Drosophila melanogaster: one gene and its partners. The protein of the gene in region 1 purifies or fractionates together with the protein of each later gene. This does not show direct contact. Each region holds a gene or a part of one and is shown in the gene's direction. Other genes may lie near its edges. The genes, in order: Nipped-B, TBPH and Mau2.

Region 1 (5,435 bases):
GATGTTATATCAGTTCAGTTTGTATTAAAATGGTGTAACTGGATTGAAATGACGGCACTGCAGATGTGGCTCACATATCAATTGCATATTGTATTTATTTAAATGTATAACACAAATATAGCAAAAGCGCCATAACGAAACATCAAAGGCGGACGGGTCCAATGCACTTGCTAAGAACAATGAACCGGCCACTGCAGCTGCTGGCCAAAATCAAGCGAATCAGAACGCCAACAAGGGCCCAAATCAACGGCAAGGACAAAACCAAAATCAAAATCAAGTCCATGGTCAAGGAAATCAAGGAGGATTAGGAAATCAAGGAGGAGCAGGCAATAAAGGAGGCCAAGGAAATCAAGGAGGAGCCGGAATTCAGGGAAGTGGTCAAGGATTCAGAGGTCGCAATGCTGGTAACAATCAAGGTGGCGGTTTCTCCGGAAGCCCGCAGAACCAGCAGACAACCGAAACCGTAGTCGGTAGTAGCGTGGTCCACGCCCTGGCGGAGGTGCAGGTGGCACGATGAACAGCACCAATATGGGTGGTGGTAGCGATGGAGATGGTGGTCCGCGCGGCTGTGAAGACTTCATCATTTAACATCGGTTTCGCAGGATTTCTGGGCCCACCTTTGAACTGGAAACAGTGGAAGTGCCCACGGAGACGAAGTTCTCCCATCGAAATCGTCTCTATGTGGGCAACCTGACCAATGACATCACCGACGCTGAGCTACGCGAGACGTTCAAGCCATACGAGCCATACGATTAGCGAGATCTTCTCGAACCTGGATAAGAACTTTAAATTCCTAAAGGTCGACTATCATCCCAATGCCGAGAAAGCTAAACGCGCCCTGGACGGATCGATGCGAAAGGGTCGCCACGATTCGCACCGAATGTCATTTTGCGGGTGATTTTGCGGAAGAAATCTCACACCGATACTTAAAACCATCGATAGTATCGATAGTTCCATCGATGGTTTTCCAGCTCTATTACAAACAATAATACCAACTGGGTCTAGTTTAAGAAAATTTCTGTTCCCACACTGAACTTTGCTCCTGAATTGTGTTTTCACTTGACGGACCCACGCGTCCGCGTCCTGACTTTGAGACTCCCGCCCATACACTGCTCGACTACCCTCGTGCACTTATTACTCACTACATGCTTTAGCTGCCTGGTCCAGAGGCGCTGCTGCCGTCTATAGGCTGTTTTATTTTCCCGTTACGCACGGCTCGCTAGAGTCCAAGGTCCACGTGTCCAGTAAACACCTTTACCGTTCGACCTCTGTGCCCTTGGCCGGTCTCTCCGCTTTACCGGGGTCCAAGGTCCAATCTTCAGCGTTTGACCTGACTCCTCCCGCATTACTGCTTTCTGCTCTGTTCTCCTGGACTTATTGTGAGTTTTAAGACCCCTCACAGTATTGCTGTTTTGCAGCAGGGGAGAGAAAAAGAATACGTATGCATATACGATATATACGTTGAGTATGCCCTAAGCCTTTGGTAAGCGTGGAAAGGCTGATTATGCATTTATATTTGGTGGCCGTAAATTGGGTGCCCACCTCCGCCGAATCCGCCTACCGACTCATTTAGTCTCCCTTTGTGAACCGGTATGTGCGCGCTTTGTAAGCAATTTTTTTAGGCCAATTTTTTTCACACTCTCGCACACTCAATGTAAGGTAAGTTTTTAGTAAGTGAGCAAACATGCTCAATAAAACGACGCTATGTGGCGCTTTTCGACTATAATTCGATTGATCGAGCTCTGCAGGTACCGGCTACGAGCTCCACATTTATTGCCAATTGTTCTTCAATCGTTGAATTATTAATTCACAAAATATTTCTCATGTATGAGAAGGACAATTGACTTTACCAAGACGCAAATTTGTTTTAAGCCTGTAGAAAATAATTTTACGTATAATTGCACAAAAAGGTAAGGTAATCATATATCATATATCAATAATTTGTTTTCCCAAGATCCATGATCTGGAAGAAATGAACTAAAACAAAATCGATTTATTCGCATACAATTGCACATCCTTGAATATTCATATCTTGTAAGCATACGCATTTCATATGGAAAAAGAGATTATGCGATATCGGTTGTTTTGCCGTTTTGAACGGCATTTCCTAATGAAGACCTTTTTATCGACTCGTTTTCACTGTTAACATTTATTGAAATAAGTATCGGGACAGGAGAAGTAGCTTCAAGTCGGTAATGCCCTAAATTGCAATAAAACATTTTTCTTTTAGAAATATCTTTCAAACATCCAAGCTCTCTACGTTTTATTGAGTTGGTGTGTAACTACATAGTCTGGAAAGGAGTATTATATATGAAGTATTAACGTTTCGGTCTGAAAAGGTATTTTTTTATTAAGTTTAGCGCGGCCACACTATCCTACAGGTCGGCCATATTCTTCAAACACTATTTCGCAAACTAAAAAATTACAAGTACTTATTATTGTAAATGTATAAGTTGGTATTTAATTAAAACGCAAAGGAGAACCGGAGTAATTCGTTTATATTGAACTGTGGCAATTCGTTAATAATTGTTGATCGCAATAACATAACGGTAAATGGTAATGCTACCGCAATTTTTTTAACTACGTAAGTAGTTGTTTATTATAAATCAATTTAAAGGGATTTATCTAATAGATTTTTAATTTATAAACTAAAAAGATAAGATAGTACATAAAGTGACTTATAATACAGCTGGACAACATCCATATATTTTAATATATTCATATAAACATTGTTTCCAATTACATTGTTTATCATGTTGATGAAATAATGTTTGGTTGTAGCGTAATGAATAATAGATTTATTTTTTTTAGCTCCTAGAATCAAAGTTGTGTTGTAATCTATCGGATTATCCTTACATTTAATATGGGGGAACGTGACAACCCAACCGTACCTGTAACAACATTAGCTGGTTTAACCAGCACTTCTGATTGTAAGTATTTTCTGTGCAAGAAAATATAATGTGTATGTACAAGTTTAAAAACTTTTAATATTTTTCTCGTTTAAATGCAAGTGCTAAGCGAGCTACCAGTGGCGGATTCGCTCCAGAGTGCTGCGTCCTTAAATAAATCTTTATTGTTCCATGCTTTGGTAGCTAACGAGTCTAGCAATTTACTTTCTATGCGAAACGAAAATCTAGTTCGACAATTGGTAACTGCCATTGAGAGAACAAACTCCGATAATATGTTAGTTGTTTAATTGATTGTATGTTTTGCTTTATTAAAATAACTTGTATTTTAGAGAGTTAATACATTGCCCAGTTCAAGACACAGCAACTAACTGTAGTACTTATCCTGAGCTTCTCCAGGGAATATATCATTTTCGCCCAGCGGTTTTTAACACTTCCATAAAAATACGTATGTTTTAATAATAAAAGCAACCATTTGTGTATTACATGAATTTCATCCACAGACTCTCCGGACCAACATACTGCTAATGCTCGATTAGAGGCAAAGAAAATGCAAATTGATTCCTATTCAATACCGGAATGTTATGCATCACCAACAAATTTGTCGATTTCAAATGAACATCAATTGCAAGACGCTCAAGCCTGCTTCAATCAGCTTACTAGGTGGCGTATATATTTTATTATTCTACAAGCCTTATATTTAATGCATTTTTCTGTTTTAGTATGACCTCAAAAGAAATCTTAGAAGAATTTTCACAAATAAATTTTAAGGAAAATGCAACAGAAAAAGATAAAATTGACGTTATTGAAAATTCAGATTTAAATGTGACTAAGATACTTTCACAAAATACTCTAAAAAAAAAGTCTAACACACCAGAAAGAAGTACGGTGCAATCAATACAAGAACAGTTTTTTATTCAGCAACAAGAAGCCAATTATAATTTAAAACATGATTTAAACCAAGTATCAACAAATGTTGGTCAAATTCAAAATATTTCTGATACTTTTCCCCAAGAGCCGTCAAATTTTAATTTAAATTCTGTAAATATCCCAAACATGTTATATGTACAAAGTCCACCTTTCACTGAATCAGAACCAACTCAAGCACACCACTCTTCAATTGAATATTTAAAAAAAAAAAAATCACAAATTCTTGACGTCAGCATTTTAAATCGACAACAGGTGTTAGAAAATACCAGCTTACATATTATTAATAAAAGTTCAACGTACCAAACGAACCAAAATGTATCAACAACTACATCGACATCTACTTCCTCAAGTGGCAAGTCCCAGGTCCGGGTATGTATAAATCGCCTTAGTATTGAGGATTCTCGCCTTATGCAACAGAGTATTAAAAAGTTTGTACAAAAGTCACCAGAATTGGCTAGAAGCATGGGGTTACTACAAGAAACGTGCCAGCAGCAACATGAAAACTTGAATATTATACCCACGAGTGCGGAAGAATGTGTATTAGAGAGTCGTGCTTCCAGTACAAATAATACAGTCAAAATCCCTATTGATACATTTTCTACTATAAAAGCCGATGAAAAACGATCCGCGAAAAGAAAACTTGCCATATCAATTGGTGACATCCCACCGGAACAAATATGTAAGTAATGAGTAATAATTTCCTTATACAAAAATTAATTGATCAAAATTATATTATAGTTTCAAAGCCTAAAATGCGTCGGGTCGAAAGAATTACACCTCTTTCGAACACAAAGTGTGTGAAGGAGGAAGTCACCCGTTCGCAAACATATCAACAATTTATTCGAAACATGGATCACATAATTGAAATATTAGACGATAGTGAATCTCCTAACTTTGACTCAGGTAAGTTCAAATACTCTGTTAAAGCTAGAGAATATTTATGAAACTTTAAGACCTATTATTAATTAGTTCGATTAATTGACACTTATGTTTACAAATATTTTTACCCGTTACTCTTAGAGTAAAGGGGTATACTAGATCCGTTGAAAAGTATGTTACAGGCAGAATAAAGCGTTTCCGTCTATATTAAGTATATATGTATATCCTTGATCAGGATCAATAGCCGATTCGATCTAGTCATATCACTCTGTCCGTATGAACGTCGAGATTGGAGGAAATATATGAACTAGAAGGTTGATATTCAGCATTCAAATTCTAGAGACAAAGATGCAGCGAAAGCTTGAATGCATTCCCCAATTAATATTGATGCAGCGAAATTGATGCAGCGAAAGCTTGAATGCATTCCCCAATTAATATTGGGGAATAAAATGAGAAATGTTTTTTAAATTGCTCTAAAGTGTGTGGTTGACCGGTTTGACAGCTTTAGGGCGTTAGAGTGGGCGTGGCAAAAAGTTTTTGGCAAATCGATAGAAATTTAAAAAATTAAAAATATGTGAAAAAACAGGAACATACTAAAATCGACTAAATACAGCAATTTCGTTATCTCTAAAGCTTGCCCTATAACTTCACAATACTATTGAGCTAGGCTTACGACTATATTTTCTTTTTCATAAGACGAAGGCTGTCCACAGAGTTTTT
Region 2 (6,284 bases), about 19 Mb from region 1:
CCCAAAGTGTCAAAAATTCCTTCGATAAGAACGCATTGCCAGTGGTTAGTTGTTAGCTTTCACTCTTTGATAGCTGAGCATTATTATGATCGCATATACGATTTCAGAATTTCAGAAGGGGATTTCAAAACCCTGCATGTTGCTTGCCAAACTTTTTATGCCGTGCGCGGCTTATCTTGACAACTACTTCGCTTCGATAAACCATATTGATCAGCTTCACTTCTTTCCGCCCCACAGCTGCGCCCTGAAATCAGCCCGATAAGAACTTAGTGTTAAGCGCTACCTCAAAGTGTCACCATGATCGGACCCAGTTCGCAGATCAGCAAGATCCTGCTCACCCTGCTGTTCCTGCTGATCATCTTCTACGTTTTCATGGACGTGGAGCTCTACCTGCGCATCCACAACTATGCCATCGAGAGGAACTATCACACGAATGTCTCGCTGCCCGCCTCCGTCGTGGGTCCGTCCACCTCGGAGTCCGGGTCCGGCAGCATCGGTGGTAGCAGCAGCAGCAGCAGCAGCAGTAGCAGCAGCACCAGTACGAAACTACCCACCGCCGGCGACCGGCAGCCGTCCTACGAGGACCACACCTGGATATCCTGTGATATAAATCCGCTTTGCCATGTGACCGTGAAGGCCATTCTGTTGGACCACACCAACCACTACCTGTTCGCCCCGCTGGCCACCATGTTCGACAACGTGATCGGCTTCTCGCGCTCCACCTTCATCACGCCCAACATGATATCGTTTTTCCATGTGGGCGTGGCCTGTCTGGCGGGCAAACTGGTGGCCTCGGACAGCCTGGGCTATCGGCGGCTGGGCGTGCTGCTCTTCCAGATCCGCACCTTCCTGGACGACCTGGACGGGCATGTGGCGCGCGTGCGCAAGCACATACGCGGCGAGCGCTCGGAGATCGGCACCTCCGGCTACTATGTGGACGGCCTGTGCGACGGACTCGGCTGCATTGCGCTGCTGCTGGGCATATTCTTTTACCTGAAGAACAATCCACCGCGGAGGGGCTACTCGATCATACCCATGAGCGACTCCAAGCTGCCGGAGCCCACCATGATGATACCGAAGATGAAGGCCACCACGCGCAAGGTGGCCAAGAACGTGATCAGCTTCACGGGCCAGCTGCTGCTGAGCTCGACGGCGTGGAATCGCTACATTGCCGTCTACCAGAACATGCTGGAGCGCGAGGACGTGAGCGGCAACCAGTCGCATTGCCAGGATTACGTGTTCAAGTCGACCTGGTTCTTCTGCGTCGCCTGGATGTGGCGCATCGTCAACGTGCACGCCCTGCTGCACTGCGTCCTGCTGAGCATCTTCTGCGACAAGCTGTGGGACTTCCTGCGCGCGATCCGGTACAGCGGTTACATTATCCTGTTAGTTGCTATATGTTTAACTGAAATGCACATTCTGGAGGCCCAGAACTACATTTTCAACTCTACGGCGTGCAGTAATATTTCACTGTGATTTTACTAATATTACGAGAAAATACAATAATATTTGTGTAGTGCAAATCAGCGATGCCTTTTTTAATTGTGTATAAATAATAATGTATCATAATTGTTAGCCAATCATTAATATTTCGAAACCAACTAATGCATTTTGTCATTCAAGCGCGGTCTGCAAGAGCAATCGAAACTCCTTCAGCTGTAAATAATAAATGTTATTGATTAATAAAGTCTAGCTGTTTTTATCGTACGCATTTCCATGGCGAGCTAATTTCGTTTGAATTTATTTATAATGTTTTGTGTTTCGAAATTTCAAATGAACACGATGCGCAATGCTGCCAAGTTTTTTTTTGGTATAGCTGATGGGCAGCACTGCAAGGTTTGGTATTTTATTCGACAGTACCAAATGCCAATATAATTGCCATATTGTAATGTAATATATTGCTTAGATATTCATAGTGGCAATCAACGCTCATATAGTTTAATAAAGAGGCTATTAAAATTTATGTGACAATGCACTGTTTTAACTAAAAATAATACACTTTTAGTATATCTACCCGCCGGCTGGTATTTCTCACTAGCCCTGTTCGGCCACACTGCGCATACGTCAGGCGATACATACAAAGGAAAAGAAAATCAAAACGGAAAGCGAGAAGAAATGCTTCACTCGTCGTTTGAAAATTTGTTAAGCTGTCAATTGTAAATATTACCTGATTCCTATTTCGCACCGATTGAAAGTGGTTGTGCATCGAAGCGTGTGTTGTGTCAAGAACCGAGCGTGGAACGTACAGTGAATACCTGATTTTGCCTGGGTGTGAATCGAATTCGTGTGAGAGAGCGTGCGATCTGAGATCTGGGATCAGAAATCTATATCTACTTGCCATACGCAGTCAGAAATTACAGCAACCAACTAATCCCTGTCAATAGTGTAAGAATTGTTGTGTAACCAACCATCTTTTAGGACCGCCAAACTGCCTCCGTCTACACATTATGTCCTCCCCTCGACGATTGCGTTTGTGTGCGTGTGTGTGTGTGCCACACACTTGCACTCACACACAGACGACAGGATTGGATATTTTCAATTTATGTGGCTTTCATTCATTGATTTTCCAATTCCTGCCGCGATTCCACACTCACAAACGTCAGTTTACTCGTATTAAGTGGGTGAAATATCTGTTTTCTTGAGTAGTTCAAAACATATACATATGTATGCCATACATCGTAAACTTGGGATTGGGTATTCTTCTTTTGTTTATTAACTAAATGTACGTAGAATAGGCATTTAGCCGATGGTGGGACATAAGTAGCGTCTGATTCAGAGAATTTTTAACTAATAATAACGTAAAGAAACGCCTAAACATGAACACTAATAATATATGAATATGTTTGTAATACTTACTAAAATTATATCATCGAAATTACAAGAGATAGAAACATTGTTTATTTGTCGTTTTTAGTAGATTGACCTAGTGTAGGATCCTTTTTGTTTTGGCTTGGTCCCACGAGCAATGTGTGTATAGAGTGGTTCGGGGCAACCTTTTTGTGTTGAATATTGTACCTTGGGATGCATCTGAATAGAACGGATGAACTGAGTGAGTGCATTCATGAATGCAGCGATGCAGAATATGTGGGATGCTTCCGTTGACTGAATGACATGGTGGATCATTTCTAGAGCGAAGTGTGAGCCCCTGCGGCGATAGAGTTCTTTAATCCCCTCCTCGTTTCTAGCAGCCTTCTAGGAAATGGATTTCGTTCAAGTGTCGGAGGAGGAGGGCGACGAGCCCATCGAGCTGCCGGCTGAGGAGGATGGCACTCTGCTTCTGTCCACACTGCAAGCTCAGTTCCCTGGATCCTGCGGTCTGAAGTACCGCAACCTGGACACGAAGGCTGTGCGCGGAGTTCGCTCCAACGAGGGCAGACTGTTTCCGCCCAGCGTGGAGTCCGGCTGGGGCGAGTACGCTTACTTTTGCGTCTTTCCCAAGGGTAAATTCGAGTTGTATGACTCCCTGTTGAACCTTAAATAATTCTGTAATCCCCCCCTGCAGAGAACAAGCGCAAGAGCGACGATAACTTGGAGAACTCAACTGCCAAGACCAAACGCATCGAGACCCGTCTGCGCTGCACTGATCTCATCGTGCTCGGCTTGCCGTGGAAGACCACAGAGGAGAGCTTGCGTGAGTACTTCGAGACCTACGGCGAGGTGCTGATGGCCCAGATCAAGAAGGACACCAAGTCGGGCCAGTCCAAGGGCTTCGGTTTCGTGCGCTTCGGCTCTTACGATGCCCAGATGCGCGTGCTCACCAATCGCCATCTGATCGACGGTCGCTGGTGCGAGGTTAAGGTGCCCAACTCGAAGGTAAGTCCTCTTGTTAGCCCTGCAATTTCACGCCTACTAATCCTTCTATTCTCATAGGGCATGGGCCACCAGGTGCCTTGCAAGGTGTTCGTGGGCCGCTGCACCGAGGACATTAACTCGGACGACTTGCGCGAGTATTTCTCCAAGTTTGGCGAAGTCACTGATGTGTTCATTCCCCGGCCCTTCAGGGCCTTTAGCTTTGTAACCTTCCTTGATCCCGACGTGGCACAGTCCCTGTGCGGAGAGGATCACATTATCAAGGGTGAGTCACTGCCGCGTGGAGAAGAATCAGGGAATTAATGAGACACTTTCCACAGGCGTTTCGGTCCATGTGTCGAATGCTGCTCCAAAGGCCGAGCAGAACAGAAACCAACAGGTCCAGAGCTACAACTACAACTCTGCCAACAGCTTTGGCATGCACTCATACCACCCACAGGGTAACCACATGAATCCGGGCCGCAACGGACACCACCGAGGTAATAACCAACACAATGCTCACGGCGGTGAGAACGCAATTGTGCCCAATAATCACAACATTGGCACCGCCGGCTACGGCATGGGTGGCAACAATTACGGCGGCAACTCGGGCGGGGGCTACCACAACAATGGCGGCAATCACTCCAGTGGCGGGAACACGAACCGCCAGGACGGCGGCAGCCAGTACAACAGTCGCCAGTCGAATTTTCACGGAATGAACCAGCCGCATAACGGCAACGTGGGCGGCAGCAACGGCTGGATGAACCGTGGCCACCTGGACATGCCCAACCTGCAGGCCCTGGGCATCAACTCGCAGGGATCGAGCTCCTCCAACCAGGGCCAAAACATGAGCAACCAGTCAATGCTCAATCTCAACTCATTGCCCATCAATCCCGCACTGGTCGCTGCCGCCTTGAACCAGTGGAGCCTGGTCGGCAACCAGCTGCAGAACCAAAACCAGGACCAACAGGCAAGCCTTCACACCTCAATCATTGTTTCAAACAAAAAACTCTCTCACTTGCTCCGCAGGGCGGCAATTTTCTATCTTGGATGGCTCAGAACGGGGGCCACAACAATGCCAACAACTTTGGTGGACGGAAGGGGCCGAATAACCCGAACAACAATCCGGCCGCCAACGGAATAAAGACCGACAACTCGGAGCCACAGGTTAGAGTCAAAACTGAAACCATCCCCTAAGAAACCTGGATCCCAGCCAGAATCTATTCTACTCTATTCCAGAATGGGAACACCGGTTGGTCGAACCAGAGCAGCGGATCTCAAAACGCCGCGGAGAAGTCAAACTTTCTTTAAGGCGGTGCCTGTCACCCAATGATGTGGTTAATGTGGTTAACCAACACCTCTGTAGCTTACTTAAATTTACATATATGTATTCCACATACAAACCAGTTAAGAATTGTATTTAATATGTAATAGATATTTTGATAATTGTAAACAAGATGACACTGGATGGCTAATAACACAATTGATAAAACACACTTCAAAATAAATTCTGCGCCAAAGCTCAGTAAAAATTGTATCATTGTATCACTTAAGTAGAATTTGATTTGTATTTTGTTGTTTATTAAATATATTTTGGCTTACGCTAAGAAAGTTTAGTTATAAAGATTGTGCACTTATAATGCTGGATCTGCGGAGAATTTCCAATATAACAAAGTTTTCTTTAAGATATCTAAACGAATTTGGCGCAGCCTCATTTTAGAGGAGAATTCATTTAACATGTACATTCATTTCAAAAAATAAAGAATGCAAAAGCATATTAGTACAAAGTGAATCATTTCATTTGAATGGAATCTATGGGATTGTGAATTGAATATTTTAATATATTCCTGTAAAGGAAACTCTCCCGTCTTGGAAACTTATCTCTTATTCTTTGAAAATAACAAAGTATGTTTTATAATTCAGTTTGTAATGACACCTGGATCTTTTTTTTTTACAAATTTCCACTACACATTTGTTTGAGTATATGCAAGGAATACCCTTAATGAGCAAGCTTTGCGCCAGCGAAAATACAGCCCTGTGTTCCATTCCGCCATTTTTCTATTTTCACGACGGTGGCAATAACGGAACTTGCAATTGCCGCGCGCATTGCGGCGCACTTCACTTAATTTAGTGTCAATCTGTTTGAAGCTAGCAGAAATGAACCACATCATCCAGGACAAGTACATTCCGCAACAGCTGCTCTACTTCTTGGCGGGACGGCGCTGCTGCCAGCAGTTCCCGTGCACATTCCGCACCAGCGAGCACGAAGCATTCGCCAACAACGCCCGCTCCTTGGGGCTGCGATCGCAGGTGGTCCATGTCAACGGGAATAGCTGCGTGAAGGTGTACAAGCAGGCATGTCGCCACTACCTGGAGGAGCCCAAGACGCTGGTTTTGTCCTCGGGCGCTACGCTGAACATGTTTACGCTGCTGAGCAGGAAGTCCTTGATGGGCAAGGAGGATTTGGAGCTTTACGCGGACCTCGTCTCCATGAA
Region 3 (5,213 bases), on another chromosome or scaffold:
CTCCCATTAAGCTGAGGATCTGAAAAGGTAACAGCTTACGTGTTAGTGCGACTCAAGTGGTCCAGTTAGGTCATAGCTTACAGGGGTCAGTTCCAGGCGCTGCTCAAACTGGAACTTGGGCAGCGACAACTCGATCTTCTGCGGCAATGCCCGTTCGAACCATTTCTTAACGGAATCGGCATTTAGCCGGGATATGACACGGTTAAGACTGATTTTGTTGGAGTTCGGCAGAATGATAATCATGGAGATATCGGATTTGGACTCGGGGGTGGAAATGTGCGTCTCCTTCGACTTGTATATGGTGCGGTAGGGCAGCTTGATGATCTGCGATTGCAAGCCCTCATCGATGGTCATCTTGAAGGCGCCCGTCTTGTGCATCATGTAAACCATTTCCTGCTCACGCTCGTTAATGAAGAATGGCTTCAAGGCGGTCTCCTCCACCTTGAACTGGCTGAGCCACTGGCCCTTCATGTAGGCGGCGTTGGCCAGCACCAACATGGTGTGGGGTGTGATCTCCTCGGAGCTGAGCATGTCGCGGATCTGGTTGTGCGTCTTATCGGCTATCCAGTCGTTAATTTCCTTTAGGCCAGTCTCCGGATCATTCTTGAAATCCAATTCTTTGGTTGCCCCGTAGAGTAAAGTGTTGAATTTGTTGGAAACATTTATTGTCCTGTCGACGAAAATTCTGTTCGCAGACGAGAGCTCCATGGGACTTTGGCGCCAACGAAATTCGTCCTGCCTCTGTGCCAACGTGTACGAAACTAGGACCTGCTGTTTGTTTAATGCCCATCCCAGGTTCAGTGCCTGGGCCAGCTCACGTTCCGTCTGCTCGGAGGAACTGAAGTAGGCGAGGAGCAGGGCGTTGTAGGTGCTGAACGGCGAGAAGAACAGATTGCCGCTGGGATATATCTCTCGGATCTGTTTCATTAATGCTAAGGAGAAGTCTCGTTCTCCCTTGAAAATTTGTGAGAATTCATTTAGAAATGATAGCTCCGGCTTGTCCAAGGCAGCTATGGTTACTACGGGAAGGAGGGCCAACAGGACCAAACTGAAGGTGTGCATAGTTGGTACTGTCTAAAAATTTAAGGACATTCATTAAGTATGAACTATAAAGAATTTATGAACTAGAACTAATAAATAGTGAAGGATGTGATATTATTTCTCACAATGTGAATTTTTCCAAAGAAAAAACATGAATCATTAAATAATCTTGGCCTCATAACATTATAGTTTATTGTTCATATGTATGTATATTGTGGGATTTTGCCAGAGATAGTGTTGGAATCCTTAATCGACTTTGTGGCACATCCAAATTTTGTCGGACTATTAAAAATGAGCTTTTTACAATAGGATTTTAAATATAAACATTGACACGAGCCCAACTGAGACAAGTTTCTCAGAACCATTAAAAAAATCTCTTTCTTCACATTTCCTAGAATTCTGTATTTCTTGTATTCATCATAATTCTTATAACATATATATTTATATATATATATATATTATATAGTATATTTATACTGATAAGAAACTTTCATGTGCCGGAGTATGTGTTTAAATCGATTGCAAACATAAATTATTATGTATAGTCGTTATTGATACAAGCGTATGAAATATTTATTTTAAAAGAATCTTGGGTTTTACCTTAACGGAATTTTGCACAGAACTTAAATCAAAACGGAAACAATGGTGGTCCAACCGATTGCACTTACAATCACTGACTAATGCATGTGGCAATAAACGGCAGAGCTAGGCTTAAAAATAATGAGAATAATGCGATAAGCGGGCGAAATCGCAGCTGATCCTCGAATTTAAATTGATAACGTACTGTTCCGTCACTGAAATAAGACGGTTTTTCTAAACAGTGATTTAAAGTAAGAATTGGTTTCCTAATTGGAGTTCTGCTAAATTTACCATGTTTAAATAATATTATCTCATTTTTCTATATTTATTAAATTTATTTAGTTGATTACTGCAAAAAGAAATAATTTTTGATTCGTACAGAAATATATATTATCTACTCAGTTTTGTTTTTAAGCGATAGCTTTTTTCAAGTTTTATGTTCTGCTGAACGGGACCATTCGCGGTACTGAAAAAGAGTGACTGCCACTGTGACTGCTAAACGATAACCGCTAAAGCTTGGTTCACCACTAGAATTCCGCACTTGACAACACTGGCAGCCACCACCGTGATTGAATAGTCGCGAATTGACAACAAAATTACGCGATAAACAAACCGAATTTGGCACCCGCTCACCGAAATGAGTGCATCGACGAGCACGTCGACGGCGGCGTCCCAGGACGCCTGCTACATATCGCTCCTTGGCCTGGCGGAGTACTTCCGCACCTCGCAGCCGCCGAACATCAAGAAATGCATCCAGTGTCTTCAAGCCCTGTTCACATTTATGCCGCCCTCGAAGGTCGAGGCGCGGACACATTTGCAGATGGGCCAGATCCTGATGGCCTACACTAAGAACATCGATCTGGCGCGCCAGCATTTGGAGAAGGCGTGGAGCATATCCGAACCGCTGCCCAATTTCGACGTTAAGTTCGACACCGCCTCGCTGCTGGCCCAACTGCATCTGCAGACGGACAGAAACTCGCATCAGGCCAAGGCGATGCTCCGGCGGGCCGTGGAACTGTCGCAAAACAACGTCTATTGGCACTGCAAGCTGCTGCTCCAGCTGGCCCAAATACATGCCAGCGATCGCGAGTACTCGCTGGCCTCCGAACTGCTGGCCGTGGGCGCGGAAAGTGCCGACGAGGCGAGCGCCACGTACCTGAAAGTGCTCTTCCTGCTCTCGCGCGCCATGATCCTTATGATCGAGCGCAAGACCAACGACGTGCTCGCCCTGCTCAACTCCGCCGGCCAAATCATTGACAACAACATACCCAATCCACACCAGAAGGAGTACCTGAAGGTGTTTTTCCTGGTGCTACAGGTGTGCTACTACCTGGCCCTCGGGCAGGTAAAAACGGTGAAGCCTAGTCTCAAACAGCTGCAGATGTCCATACAAACGATAATGGCGCCAAATTGGCCTTCGGATGAGGCGATTTTCGGGGCAAATCAACTCGAGATGTTTGTGTGGCTGCCCAAGGAGCAGCTGTACGTCCTGGTCTATCTGGTCACTGTCTCCCACTCAATGATGGCGGGCTACATGGACAAAGCACAAAAGTACACGGAAAAAGCACTCACCCAGATCGAAAAACTTAAGCAACAGGAGGACAAACCCATTCTATCCGTATTCAAGGTGATTCTGCTGGAGCACATTGTGATGTGCCGCATGGTGATGGGCAACCGGGAACTGGCTATCCGGGAAATAGCAGCCGCGAGAGACGTTTGCATGGCCGCTCCGCAACGCAGCCTGCTACGGCGACACTCGGCTCAGCTGCACTGCCTCATCGGGCTCTACTCCATGTCCACCAACCTCTTTGAGCATGCGGAGAGGCAGTTCGTCGTGTGCGTGAGTGAGACCAGCGAGCGAGACCTGAAACTGTTTGCCAACCTCAACCTGGCGATCATTTATCTGCGCACCAAGCGGGACACGGACCTCAAGCAAATCCTGGATGCCGTCTCAACGGAAAACACGCACACGTATAGCAGTCAAGCGCTGATGGGAGGCTTCTACTACGTCCAGGGACTGCATGCTTTTCACAAAAATAGCTTCCACGAGGCGAAGTTAGTCACCTTAAGCCAAGACTCTAGAATGTAAACTGATAATCTTTATTCTTTTCAGACGCTTTCTGCGTGAAACTCTGAAAATGGCCAACGCCGAAGACCTCAACCGACTGACCAGCTGCTCGTTGGTTTTGCTATCGCACGTCTTTCTCAGCATCGGAAACTCAAAGGAAAGCATGAACATGGTGACGCCGGCCATGCAACTGGCCAGTAAGATACCCGACATCCACGTCCAGCTGTGGGGATCGGCAATACTAAAGGACCTGCATCGTATGTCAAAGGATGTGCAGCATGAAAAAGATGCTTATGCTAACCACGTTAAATACTCGGAGAACCTGATTGCAGACCAGCGCAAGTGCGTCCAAAGTGCGCATCACGAACTCGTCAACTGGTTCCAGGGCGATCCGCCAGTGACGAGTGGTCCGCCGGCTGCTCCCGTCCTGCTCATGCCAGAGTCCTCCGTTACAGCCTCAGTCCCCGTCATCGCCTCCACATCGACAGCCATGCAGCCGGCGGGGCAATACGGTCAGTTCTACTAGCAATGAGATGATTATGCAATGTAACTTTAAGCTTTTATTTTTATCTACGACCTAGCGACTAAGTTAAGACTAAAGATGTTCTAAAGTTGTGAATTTTGTCATAAACTGTGTTCCCGAGGGAAAGAGTAGACGGAAATGTAAAGCGGATGAGTTGTGCGCATTTGAGTTGGGTCGTTCAACTTAGGATTATAATCATTATTACAATTAAAAGTAAGGATCCGTCTTGGGTATTAGGCAAACTCAACCACCTTTACAAAAGCCGCCTTGCTTGCACAGCTTCTACATTGATTTATAGCATAAGCGCAGACTCGGTCATCTCGTTAAGTTCCTCTTCAAGGGCCCCGCTTCCGTTTTCCTTGTTGCTTAGAAATGTGAAGTGCACCAGGCGTTTGTCGTGCTGCTCGTGGCCGGCCAGATGTGATCGCATCTCGGGCATCGACTTGAACTCCTCATTGCACACCGGACAAATGTAGATCCGCTCGCCCTGATGTGTACGCTGGTGCATCTGGCAGTCACCCCGCTGCGTAAAGGTCTTCGAGCAGAAGGGACAGACGTACGGCCGCTCACCTGTGTGCGTCCTTCGGTGGTTCTTTAGCACATTGAGGGCAGTGAATCTCATGGGGCAGAGATCGCAGGCGTATGGCCGTTCGCCAGTGTGCTTTCGTTTGTGCTTGGCCAGGGAGCAACTAGTGGTGAATCTGGCCAAGCACACCTCACACTCGAAGGGCTTGTCGCCGGTGTGGGTGCGTGCATGAGAGGTGAGTTCCGCCTTGGTAACAAACGAGTGCGGGCACAGCTCGCACTTGAAACTCTTTGTCTCCGAGTGACGCAGCTTGTGCTGGCGCAGATTGGCATTCTGTGTAAAGCTCTTGCCACAGATATTGCACACAAAGGGTTTCTCGCCGGTGTGGATGCGCATGTGGTCACGCAGCGTGGACAGCATGGTGAATACTACAATATTAAGAGACAATTAAATAGGATTTTCGACCACTCTTTGTT

Evidence for each region.
Region 2: the proteins of Nipped-B (region 1) and TBPH purify together in Drosophila melanogaster (affinity purification with western blotting; one study listed by BioGRID). This does not show direct contact.
Region 3: the proteins of Nipped-B (region 1) and Mau2 purify together in Drosophila melanogaster (affinity purification with mass spectrometry, with the first as the bait; one study listed by BioGRID). This does not show direct contact.

The regions. Positions count from the first base shown.
Region 1 is NT_033778.4:4,725,928-4,731,362, reverse strand, and holds the start of Nipped-B (Nipped-B), read left to right. Parts: upstream 1-2,345; 5' UTR 2,346-2,584; intron 2,585-2,811; 5' UTR 2,812-2,863; coding exon 2,864-2,930; intron 2,931-3,011; coding exon 3,012-3,183; intron 3,184-3,238; coding exon 3,239-3,354; intron 3,355-3,409; coding exon 3,410-3,569; intron 3,570-3,628; coding exon 3,629-4,515; intron 4,516-4,574; coding exon 4,575-4,739; intron 4,740-5,435. UniProt on the Drosophila melanogaster protein: Plays a structural role in chromatin. Involved in sister chromatid cohesion, probably via an interaction with the cohesin complex.
Region 2 is NT_033778.4:23,858,362-23,864,645, reverse strand, and holds TBPH (TAR DNA-binding protein-43 homolog), read left to right. Parts: upstream 1-2,052; 5' UTR 2,053-3,199; coding exon 3,200-3,440; intron 3,441-3,502; coding exon 3,503-3,813; intron 3,814-3,870; coding exon 3,871-4,075; intron 4,076-4,130; coding exon 4,131-4,759; intron 4,760-4,818; coding exon 4,819-4,956; intron 4,957-5,028; coding exon 5,029-5,100; 3' UTR 5,101-5,579; downstream 5,580-6,284. Other genes in the region: Cpes (ceramide phosphoethanolamine synthase), read left to right, coding at 298-1,476; bgcn (benign gonial cell neoplasm), read left to right, coding at 5,947-6,284.
Region 3 is NT_033777.3:15,207,043-15,212,255, forward strand, and holds Mau2 (Mau2 sister chromatid cohesion factor), read left to right. Parts: upstream 1-2,161; 5' UTR 2,162-2,257; coding exon 2,258-3,675; intron 3,676-3,733; coding exon 3,734-4,214; 3' UTR 4,215-4,305; downstream 4,306-5,213. Other genes in the region: Spn88Eb (serpin 88Eb), read right to left, coding at 1-19, 82-1,062; CG6654 (uncharacterized protein), read right to left, coding at 4,504-5,165. UniProt on the Drosophila melanogaster protein: Required for association of the cohesin complex with chromatin during interphase. Plays a role in sister chromatid cohesion and normal progression through prometaphase.